Linked DNA regions of Styela clava. The protein of the gene in region 3 purifies or fractionates together with the protein of the main gene of each other region. This does not show direct contact. Links are inferred from orthologs where the notes say so. Each region holds a gene or a part of one and is shown on either strand. Other genes may lie near its edges.

The links.
Region 1: the proteins of serine/threonine-protein kinase PLK1-like (region 3) and heat shock factor protein-like purify together in Homo sapiens (affinity purification with western blotting; 3 studies listed by BioGRID and IntAct, with this or other methods). This does not show direct contact. The link is inferred for Styela clava from reciprocal best matches to the Homo sapiens genes PLK1 and HSF1.
Region 2: the proteins of serine/threonine-protein kinase PLK1-like (region 3) and anaphase-promoting complex subunit 1-like purify together in Homo sapiens (affinity purification with mass spectrometry; 3 studies listed by BioGRID and IntAct, with this or other methods). This does not show direct contact. The link is inferred for Styela clava from reciprocal best matches to the Homo sapiens genes PLK1 and ANAPC1.

Annotation. Positions count from the first base shown.
Region 1 is NC_135263.1:6,652,245-6,656,002, forward strand, and holds the start of heat shock factor protein-like, read left to right. Parts: upstream 1-1,121; 5' UTR 1,122-1,205; coding exon 1,206-1,334; intron 1,335-1,863; coding exon 1,864-1,972; intron 1,973-2,352; coding exon 2,353-2,477; intron 2,478-3,008; coding exon 3,009-3,130; intron 3,131-3,536; coding exon 3,537-3,612; intron 3,613-3,758. UniProt on the Homo sapiens protein: Functions as a stress-inducible and DNA-binding transcription factor that plays a central role in the transcriptional activation of the heat shock response (HSR), leading to the expression of a large class of molecular chaperones, heat shock proteins (HSPs), that protect cells from cellular insult damage.
Region 2 is NC_135259.1:2,115,061-2,118,818, forward strand, and holds the start of anaphase-promoting complex subunit 1-like, read left to right. Parts: upstream 1-1,557; 5' UTR 1,558-2,295; coding exon 2,296-2,410; intron 2,411-3,080; coding exon 3,081-3,181; intron 3,182-3,372; coding exon 3,373-3,504; intron 3,505-3,758. UniProt on the Homo sapiens protein: Component of the anaphase promoting complex/cyclosome (APC/C), a cell cycle-regulated E3 ubiquitin ligase that controls progression through mitosis and the G1 phase of the cell cycle.
Region 3 is NC_135260.1:16,482,296-16,486,053, reverse strand, and holds the start of serine/threonine-protein kinase PLK1-like, read left to right. Parts: upstream 1-1,231; 5' UTR 1,232-1,325; coding exon 1,326-1,496; intron 1,497-1,860; coding exon 1,861-2,010; intron 2,011-2,331; coding exon 2,332-2,457; intron 2,458-2,698; coding exon 2,699-2,886; intron 2,887-3,169; coding exon 3,170-3,298; intron 3,299-3,421; coding exon 3,422-3,591; intron 3,592-3,758. UniProt on the Homo sapiens protein: Serine/threonine-protein kinase that performs several important functions throughout M phase of the cell cycle, including the regulation of centrosome maturation and spindle assembly, the removal of cohesins from chromosome arms, the inactivation of anaphase-promoting complex/cyclosome (APC/C) inhibitors, and the regulation of mitotic exit and cytokinesis.

The DNA.
Region 1 (3,758 bases), on a different chromosome or scaffold from region 3:
AATCAAAACTTTCTTCCCTGAACTATGGAATGGAATGGAATTTCGAGGGTCAATTGTCGGGTGTGGTGATCTCACGTTTCTGCGTTTTTAATAAAGGATAACATTTTTATATTTATGGAGAAGAAATTTTATAAGACGGCGTATTCATATGGCGAACCACGACCACTCGTCCGGGATATATATGTAAATCATACCCAAGGATAATTCTTTTACGCTAAAAATCAAAACTTTCTTCATTGAACCAGAGCCATTATATAACGGTTATATAATGGCTCTGATTGAACTATGGAATGTAATTTTGAGGGTCAAAGGTCGGGCAAACATCCCTATACTGCCCTATATTGACCAGTTTGTGGTGATCTCGCGTTTCTGCTATTTTAATAAAAGATAAAATTTTCTATAAGAAATTCTATAAGACGAGTGTTCGGACAGTGCAAATATGATATCGCTATCCGTTACAAACATTTGGGTTCACGCAGGCTCGAATGTGGAGATATGTTTATCAACAATCACAGATAATGCAACAGGCTCGATCAGGATAGGATAGGATGACTCGGCGGTGTGGCGCATCGTGCTAAGCGTTAGGAATACGCTCGCCACCGCATCTCTGATTACTTGGTGCAGGTAGTACTGGTACCGGTACCGGTTGTGTAGGACCGTCTCACGGAATTTTATGAGATCAGCGAACCGGTTAGCATTACATGACTTTTTGTAACAGAACCGCCTGAAAATATGACATTTGTATGATAGAACCGGCTGACACAAAATTTAAATCCCACCACTGCCTTGGGGGGGGGGGGGGTTCGCAGGTTCGAATCCCATGAAAGATGTGCGAGAGGATTGCTGGACTCGTCGCCGCCGTAGGGTGGTTCACGTAACTGCTGGTCGGTTACGGGTTCCACCACCATCATGTCCATGCTTCTGAAAACAAAATAACTGGCTAACTAATCCCATAGGTACCCGACCTGGACGTGAGGCCGTGGTTCGCCATATGATTAAGTCGTCTTATCGGCTTTCCTCTCCCCCGGGATAAATATGTAAATCCTATCCTAAATGAGGTATTTATTACTATAAAACCAATATATCCACATGCTGGTTGGTTATTTATCTCGTTACTTGAGCTATTGTTATTTGTATTTAAGAATGTGAGTAAATAAATACCATATAGACTATATATTTGAAGAATTAGCACTGCAAATTAAAAAATGGAGACTACTAATGCTCCTGTTGCTGTAATGGAAAATCCCACAACTTCAAATATTCCGACATTTTTATTGAAACTTGTTAATATGTTGAAAGATGAATCAAATCACGAATATGTGGACTGGAATGAGGTAGTCTAGATTTGTGTGATTATATATTTAATAATGTGGAATTAGAAATGTTTACATTGTAACATTTGTATAATTGCACTAAATAATTTCAGAATTTGGTAATTCAATCGTTTAATAAACTTATCTCATATTTTTATAAATTAGTATATTTTTGCTATTAGGGGTGAAATGTATTACATAATCACAGCATTAAATCAGTTTGTTATCCTCTGTAAGCTTTATGAATATTTACTGATTGCCTACAAAGTTATTTCATTGTATTTTCACTAAGCCTTACATCCCACATCATCACATATTTTCCCATTGTGACTCATGATTGGAGTGACTCGTTTTGACTTGAGACTCAAGTGTTAAAATTAGCTCATACTCTGGGGTTAATGACTCAATCATGTGTCTCTTGAGATCAAGACTCTTGGCCTGCAACTTGGTACTTGTGGACTGGCTGAATAGCACCCAGTGTTGCCATTGAAAGTCTTGTTTCTGAAATTTCAATTTCTGACTGAATAGATTAATCTATTTTTTTTTTCAGGCAGGAACATCTTTCATTGTGAAAGATCAAGTACAGTTTTCAAAAATTGTTCTACCTAAGTATTTCAAACATAATAAGTTTGCAAGTTTCGTCAGACAATTGAATATGTGTGAGTATATTTCAAGTTTTCATGGTAATAATGAAAATCAAAATTTGTACAGAATTTTGGAATAATTATTGTTGACTAAGCATGACTAACAGTTTGTTAAAGAAGTCTTGCATACGCAAAACTTTTTACTGTCTGAATTTAATGTTCTGGGAGAGTTCGGAGGTAGAGTTTGAGACAAAATTTGCATTAGCTTGGCGTGGGAGAATGTTTTTCAAGTCACAGTCATGATTTTTTCAACACAGTAATTGTAAATTTTCTTCAGCCCCTGTCATTATTGGCAATTTTTGTTTTTTCCAGTATACACTTTATGGAAATGTTAGTAGAATATGAGATCTATAAAAAAATATTGGAGTAAGTAATCAATTTTAATAATCTGTCAGATGGATTTCGCAAGATCACATCATTAACACAGAGTGGTTTGAATAATGAAAAGGAGGAGATTGAGTTTTACCATTATTTGTTCATTCGTGGTGAAGAAGTATTTCTGGAGCATATCAAGAGAAAGGTATTTATCTGTTCAATTATTTGAATTATACAATAATTTATTGTTTATATCACTATAATCTACGTTATTAATTGAGGTTTTGCGAGATTAGCTATTTCAACCTTACAATGTCTTTTCAGCGATGTCAATATGTTATCAGGTAATTACTGTGATGCGATATATTACCAGGGGCATTATCAACCATGTTTGTAGTGACACATTATTTTTATTTTACATATTTCTACAATCTACATTAATGGAAATGTAAACACTTTCAAAACCAGTTTTATAATATAAGAACTCATGAATGCATGCATGAATATTCACAATGAACAATTTTTGTGCTCTTGGACTAAATCTTGTTAACATGATTACATTACATTTGAGGCATGGCCTCTTTTATTAGGCTGCTGATTTGAATATGCAAGAACTTAATTCTATTCAAATTAGATGAAGACGAAGTTGTAGAATACCAATCTATTCATATATGTTCTTCCCTATTTTGGCAATACTTTGAATTTGAGCCTGTAGTTATCTTGTTTTTGTGTCCAGGTACCAAAACCAGAAGAATCAAATCGCCGTAACAATGAAGATGTTACCAAAGTACTCGATGATGTTAAACAAATGAAAGGCTACCAAGAAAACATAACTTCGCAGCTATCAGAATTGAAGCAGTATGTATATATATTCTAAGACAGTACTTCTCTAACTTATATATTCTAGGTTAGTTCGTCTCCAACTTATATGATCTGTGGCCCTCCTCTGAAGACTTTCATCACTTTGTGGCCCCCTACCTAGTTTTGTTTGGCCCCCTACCTAGTTTTTTTTTCAACACTAGGACTGTCCTTCTCTAACTTATATGATCTGTGGCCCTATTCCGAAGACTTTCATCCATTTGTGGCACCCTGCTCTTCAATAAAAAACCTAGTTTTGTTTTTAACAGACTTCCATCAGTTATTATATTCGCAATGTTTAATAATAAAAAGCCACCCAATAACTTTAACACCTTTTAATGATTTTCCAAAAATAATTTTTTAATTTATTAATGGGAACAAATTAATTCGTTTAATTTTTTTTCAGAGAGAATGAAGATTTGTGGCGAGAGGTTGTTAATCTACGTCATAAGCATTCACATCAACAGAAAGTTGTCAATAAGGTGATTAAAGTATTCAATAACGATAAATTTAGGATTTTCAAATTTTGTTAGATAATGAAGGAAAATAAAAACCCGAATATTTTTAGGTTTTTCACCTAATATTTTGAATTGTATTAGAAGATGCATTTAAATCTGTAAAGAACCAA
Region 2 (3,758 bases), on a different chromosome or scaffold from region 3:
TGCTTTTGAATTTGCTTGTTCAATCTTTATTTTAAAAGATGTATTTGTGCAAATCAGATTCGATTTGTTCATACCTCAATTGTATTGATGGAAATGAATAGGTTTGATATTTCACTTAGATTTAATTTTTTTTGTTGTGAAACCCTCCTGTGAATTCATGCTTGTTTACCAATATATCTGGCAACAGTGATTAGAGATATTATTGTTCAGCTGATTTTGATTCATTTTTCTGGCAATTGTGGCTATTTTGTTCCATCAATTGCCGGACTTCTGGCGCTGAGTTAAACATGGATATATGTAATTTAGTAATCTGTGAACGTTTAGGATGCCTTAGGACAGGGATGGCGAACCTTTATCAATGAATGGGTCAAAAATCATATTTTTATCGCGGAACAGAAGAGAGTGGGTCACAGATATTTAATCAATGTTTGTATCTATAAGAAACATCTGAAACAAATCATAATACAACGGTTCTGTTAATGTTGGTGTAGTTTAGTGCTTTACTTTACAGCACTTTATCAGGAACTTTTTATGGCACTCGATCAAGGGTACGAAAACACACATGTGAATTACGTTGAGGATGATGCGGCAAATTATTTTACGGTTCCAAAGAGTTTGAAGGGAATTCCACTCTGATAGTGCTATAGTTTTATATCAGCTTTAACCATATTAAAAGCACTTTTACACTGCCCCATTGTTATTCCAGATTTCTAGGTTTTATTTCAAGTCTGAAAGATTTTGTATTCTCAACGGCATTGTAGGCGAGAAACTAATAAAATGCAAAGTGGCATCTAGTTCTCGTACAACCCCTAAAACAGTCTGCAGATGCACTTCTGAAGAGACAAGACGTTGCGAGAAATGAACATCAATTCGATTGTTATGTCATAAACGATGTCAGAGCCAATAGCTGAATAACGGCACACAACGGTGCAGACATGCGTCCAAGATTGGGGGTTTTGAATATTATCATAACGGAAATTAACAATTTGAATATAAGCGATCGCAGCCCTGACTGCCCAACTGACGGTACATTATAATAGTTTAGGTATTGTTAGATTAATTTAAGGCCGATTTTAATATTTTTTATCACTGATATGTTAGCATTTTTCTTATTTTATTCGTGCCTTGGCGGGTCACGAATAAAACGCGGTGGGTCACTTTGTGACCCGCGGGTCAGTGGTTCGCCATCCCTGCCTTAGGATGTCAGAACGTCAGCCCACACTCGTGTGACGCTATCCCACTAATGGGGATGGCAGCCCACACTCGTGTGACGCTAGCCCACACCCGTTTTTGTCAGGCCATACTAGGGGTAACTGGGCCGTGCTTGGTATTGTATTTGCGTTGTGTATATCAGATATGGTCTCTATATTGTCAAGAGTCACCAAGTTTTTATGTAATAACATTTACAAAGTCAGTAAAATAGTTGGTTAACCCGTTGACGTCAGCCTGAGCAGGTGTGGGCTGCGGTAACCTTGGTTATCAAAGTGATGAGTGGATGTTCAATTACAGAATCCAGAATTTAGACATTCACCTTACCCCACCTTACTCAGTTACTGGAATCACATTTTGACATTCGTCTACTTTATCAGGTGTCCACACTTTGATCTGCCAGTTTTCAGTAATGCTATTACTGTATTATTTACGGTACAGTATTATTGGTATATTTCCAGAACTCACTACAAATTTCATATCTGTTCTCTGTTGTAATGAGACATTTTTAATTCAGTCAAATCATTCGGTACTGCAGTAAGTCTATCTTCAGATCTAGCCCATTCTTGTTCAGTTAAATAAATCGCTTCTATTTTATTCTAATTGTGCAACTCCTCCTCCTTTTTGCATTCAAATTGTATGTTTTTCTTTCGCGATTCTTTTTTTGAGGTGTTCAGTTTAGTTTTGTGAACATTATACACCTTGATTAGTAATTCTGGAATAAGCATTCTCACTAGTCACTTGCTCATATTCAAATGCAGAAATGACTGGAGTCATATGAGGGATTCTGAGATTCTAGTGCAGTACTGCTCCTGTGGATACCGAACATCTTACTCCATTTCTGATATTCAAGATCAGAGGTCGGGCAGTCATTTATCTGTTCATTGACCCACAGTAGAGTTCAGAACTTTGTATAACTTTGAACTGTAGCATTGCATAGTCAGATAGTAGTTACTCTAAAAGCTATAAATTTATTGCTTAAAGAATAAAGATTTTGAATTTGTTCTGAAGTTATTAAGGTAATTCTGTATTTGTTATTAATGGATTTGAATCACTCTACAAAAATAAAGACACCTATTTTGACTCATGAATAACTCCAGTAATCTACTGCGAACATCAACTTCTGTTAATGCAATGATTGTCGCTCTGGAACCAGTGGAGTTTATACCCTATGGTCGCCATGCTATTTCTAATCATCCAGGTGAGCGATAATATCACAGTATTACTATGTCCCTCTTAGTGTTCTATCAATTTGCTCCTACCAAAAATTCACTATTACCTACCTTAAAAATAAGAAGGGTGGAAAAAAGAAAATGTTTTGTATGGTTTGAGAATGCACAAGAAATAGCATTTTGCAAATACAGTACCGGTAGCTGACCAATAAGTGAAAACAGAAATAGGTAAATGAGAGTTTTTTCTTCGCAAATTGCTTTAAATTTTTCAGGCCATCAGTGTTTGTCATATTGGTGACATCGAACAGTAATCAGTAATTTATTTTATCACCATATAAGAAATACACACTGTACATACAGAACGAGATAAGAAAAGAGAGGAAAATAATGCATTTCAGGGTAAAAAGGGATGCGATAAACCAGCATTGGTTATCGAGCAGCGACACCTATGAATAGTCTAACATTGGGTCATACAAGTTTAAAAAACAAACTCAATATAGTACTAAAGTGAGGAGTCGGACGCCAAAATACTGACATTGGCATAAATATGTTTGAAAAGACCGGATATTTCCGGACTCACTAAGCAAACGACTCCGAACGCCGACTGGCGTTGAGAACTTAATGTAAACAACCTTATGCCACCTACTTCTGGATTATTTGAAAAAAAATTTGATATCCTGTTTTGTTTTATTTTCACAGGCCTTTCTTGTCTTCACTTGCATCAGTCACAAGCTCCTCTAAGATTAGATCGAAGTTTAATCGGTTCTTTCAGCAAAGTTAGCTTGGATGACAGGAATAGGGTATAAATTTTCATATGGATGTATATAATTACGGATGCCATAGTTGTGAATGTTTTTATTGAGATTACAATAATATGTATGTGTATAGGTAGGCCTACTGCATCGGTGTCTTACGTGAATATATATAATCATTGCCTAATTTATATTTATTTAATACACATGTAAATGTAATATATTTGGGATATTTTCAGGTTTCTGAGAGATGGCACCTGCGGAAATATGCAAATGCTGAAGAGGAATTATATATTTGTAAAAATACTATAGTATGGAGTAGAGGATACAAAGTCATCAGTACATATACAATTGATTCACCTGTAATTCATGTAAGATATAATTCCTTCTAATTCTAGCTTTAAGTGGATGTCTTGGATGCAAATTGAATAGGCTTCTACTTTTTTTTTCTTGGATGATATTCATTCAATCATTTTGAACAACCTATTAACTGGAATGTTGAAATAACCTGTCAATATGGTGTGATAGGTACTGCACTGTACCTTTATGGTCAGTTAGCACTGTTAGCAGTTTTGTTTTTTAGTCTGGTATCGTTTTTCACTGAATCCTGAATGCCAAAATCAAA
Region 3 (3,758 bases):
TAACAAAGTGACTAGTCAATTTGGATTCTGACAACCCACGACGAGACGAGAGAATCGCCAAATGTTAATATGAGAGAATGAGAAAGAGAAACGTCATTCTTTGTACACCAATCAGAAACCGCCGTCGCTGGAACAGCGAGTTTCAAATGAGATTTAAATGCCTGTGTTCGGCGTGTATTTACTTGGCAAAAGGTAATATGAAAAAGATGAAAAAGACTCGATATCCAGGGCTCACTGTTGTGTATTTTGAATCAAATCTTATCAAAATTAGTTAAATTTATCGTATGTGTGTATTAGAGAATTGCTTTTGCACCTGTAATTACAAGAACAGCGGTTATTTTTTGTGTAATTCAATATAAGGGCTTTGTTACCGGAGATTTTTACATTTTATTTTTGAAACGGGAACACTTCTAAATTGTTGAATTTCAAATTGTTGAAGTCGCCTCCGAGATTGTTTGTTAGTTTTCGGTACTGGCTTGTATAAGCGCCAGTTTGGAAAGATTTGAAACGCAACAGTGTCGCGACTCATCTCCAAGCAGATCGTAACTAGGATGCTATTATTCATTTATCTATGTCCTTAAAATATCATGTGTGGATTATTTAGAAATTTTGCAATAGCAGAATAAGGTGGAGTTGAACATCCACGGACCTATCGAGACTGTGTTTAATGTTTCAGTGTTTGGACCGACCTGCCGCAATACTGGTTAGTCATTAAAGACAGACTGACTGAAGAAATAGCAAAATTTTGCCCAAAGTCATGTGATTGACTAAATCCAGAAATCAGAAATGTGATCATCTTATGTAGCTTTCAGAATGAAATATCAACTTTCATGGTGTTTGTAAAACTGATTAATGACTGAATGATCTATTTGGAAGTGGTCAGATAACTTCTTTCAATTGATATTCAGTATGCCAGGATTAAAAATATTTGGATAGAATAGTCATTAAATGCGTTTTGTGAATGACAACTTCTTCCATCGTTATTTTTCATCTATCCAGCTATCTGTCCATAGGCATCAATCCAAAATTATTTCCTGATGTGGCCAACCGCGGTAAATTTCATTTTTAACTAAGCACTTATTCCTTCAAAATAACAGAAGGTTGACACCTGTTAAATCAAAAATAAAATATCCATCAAAAGTAAAGTATGAAACAATAAGCTTTAGGGATGATCATTGGGCCCTTGTACGCAGTAATACTTTTTACCGTCTTGTTAGTAATATTTCAGTAATTAGTGTTTTTCTCTTGTCAGAATTAACTAAATATTTTATTGACATCTGAATTTTCTCCGCGTTCAATCATTTGAAGAAGTTACCAGCACCAACATGTCTAAGAAGGATATTCCGATGAAGGAGATCCCTGAGATTCTGTGTGATGACAACTCTGGAAAACGTTATACTCGCGGAAGATTTCTGGGAAAAGGAGGATTCGCTAAATGTTTTGAAATAACAGATCATGAAACAAAAGAAACGTTAGCTGGAAAAATTGTTCCTAAGGTTAAAATAAGCTACTCTTCACATCTCAATATATTAAATTATGTATCGTATTTTCTCATATTTCGTTGAGAATAATATTCAATTTTGGCAAGTGCATTATGGTTTACACAGAGTTTAGTAAAACAAGTTTTAAAGAAATTGTTTATGAACTGTCATGTAATAATTTAGGTTCATGAAAACTAAATGCATTTTCATGAAATTTCATTTCAAAATTTGGCAGATATCATGAATCCATAATTTACCGTTCAGTTATCTTTTAGTCCAGAATGAAATTGTAAACTAGGTTTCTCTAATACTATTTCATTTTGTCACTTTCCAATATTATTTGTTCAAATACTCAATTTTGCTATTTTCCATACTTTAGGCACTTCTTGTGAAGCCTCATCAGAAAGAAAAAATGACTCAAGAAATTAGTCTTCATCGTAGCCTCAATCATGATCATGTTGTTGGTTTCCATGGATTTTTTGAAGATAAAGATTTTGTTTATATTGTCTTGGAATTGTGCAAAAGAAGGGTATAATTTGAGTTTTGTTCAAATCTTATTTTACTCTCATTTCCTCATCTATCTAAATTAAAACCTTTGTCATTTGAAATATTGTACCTGTTCAGATTAGTCAAAATTTACTCGCGTCATTGTACCGATACGCTATGTTCACTACATGAAACAGCAATGTTTCTAGCTGTCAACAATTTTGGATGAATCGAAAACAATTTATTAAAATAACACATTTAAACTTTGACTTGAACAACAACAGCGGCTGTCATTATGTGGTTCCGCAGTGCAGATAACATAACATTTTTTTATCTCTCAAAATTCTATTATTTCTTTCTACAGTCTCTTATGGAATTGTACAAGCGACGAAAAGCTCTTACCGAACCAGAGACAAAATACTATATGAAACAAATTCTGCTTGGAGTTGTATATCTACATGACAAAAAAATTATACACCGAGATATAAAAGTAACCATTTTATTATTATTACCTATTATGTATAATGAAATTAGCTCTCAAGACTTGACTAATTTACGGATATGTTTTTTTTTTTTATTAAAAAAGGTGGTAGATTATGATAGCGGAATAGTGTACAGAAGAAAATATATTGATTGCCGAAAATTGTCATATAATCTGGATCAAAAATTTCAGTATACATACTATCTCTTCATTTATCTTTTATAATTTAATGTACATTCAATTTTTCCAGTTGGGAAATCTTTTTCTAAACAATGAGATGGAAGTGAAAATTGGTGATTTTGGCTTGGCAACCAAAGTTGATTTTGAAGGGGAAAGAAAGAAAACATTGTGTGGTACACCCAATTACATTGCACCTGAAGTGTTAGGAAAGAAGGGACACAGCTTCGAAGTTGACACATGGTCTCTTGGTTGTGTATTGTAAGTTCACACATTTTCATGATCAATAATTTTAATTTCAGAGAGTATCTCATTGGGTTGTTCACTAAAATTCCCGTATTATCACATGATCAAAGCCTGATTAGAGAATGTTCTGATGCATTTTTTACTCGCATTCTACTTTGCCCATATGGCATTTCATGTCGCTTGTTTTAAACCTCATTTGAAGTTAAGGCAACTTTTCTGATTTTCCTCTTTGTGTTGTGTTTGTCTTGTGAATTGTAATTTTTTCGTACCATATATCGGAAAGATTATCCTTTTTCAGATACACACTGCTGGTTGGTAAACCTCCATTTGAAACCTCAACATTGAAAGAAACTTACAGCAGAATAAAGAAAAATGAATACAGAATTCCTCATCATGTTTCTCCAGCTGCCAAGACTTTAATAAAAAGGTAGTTTTAGTATCTTATGTAGTTTTAGTAGCTTTTAAATTGAACAAATTGGATTCGACCATTGGAGTTACTCCTAGTTTACTTTTTGAACGATACTCAATAAAATTTGTTGTTCATTTTTAGAATGCTATGCAATGAACCCTCATCTCGACCCTCAGCGAAGGAAGCTCTGGAAAGTGACTTCTTTAATGGTTATATTCCTCATAAACTACCTACGACTTGTTTGACCATGGCACCTCGATTCCCTGAAATGCAGACGCAATCTCAAAGGAAACCTTTGCAGGATATAAATGGTATGACTTATGAGAAGTCACAAGTTTTTGAAAATTACTTTGTTGAACTGCTTTTTGATGAAACGCTTTGATTTACGAGATGGTGTTTGGATTCATCCTCAGTTTAAATAGCCTACCGCTTTAATTCTGAAACTTGCATCTTCAATTACAGGCATGCAATAAATAGA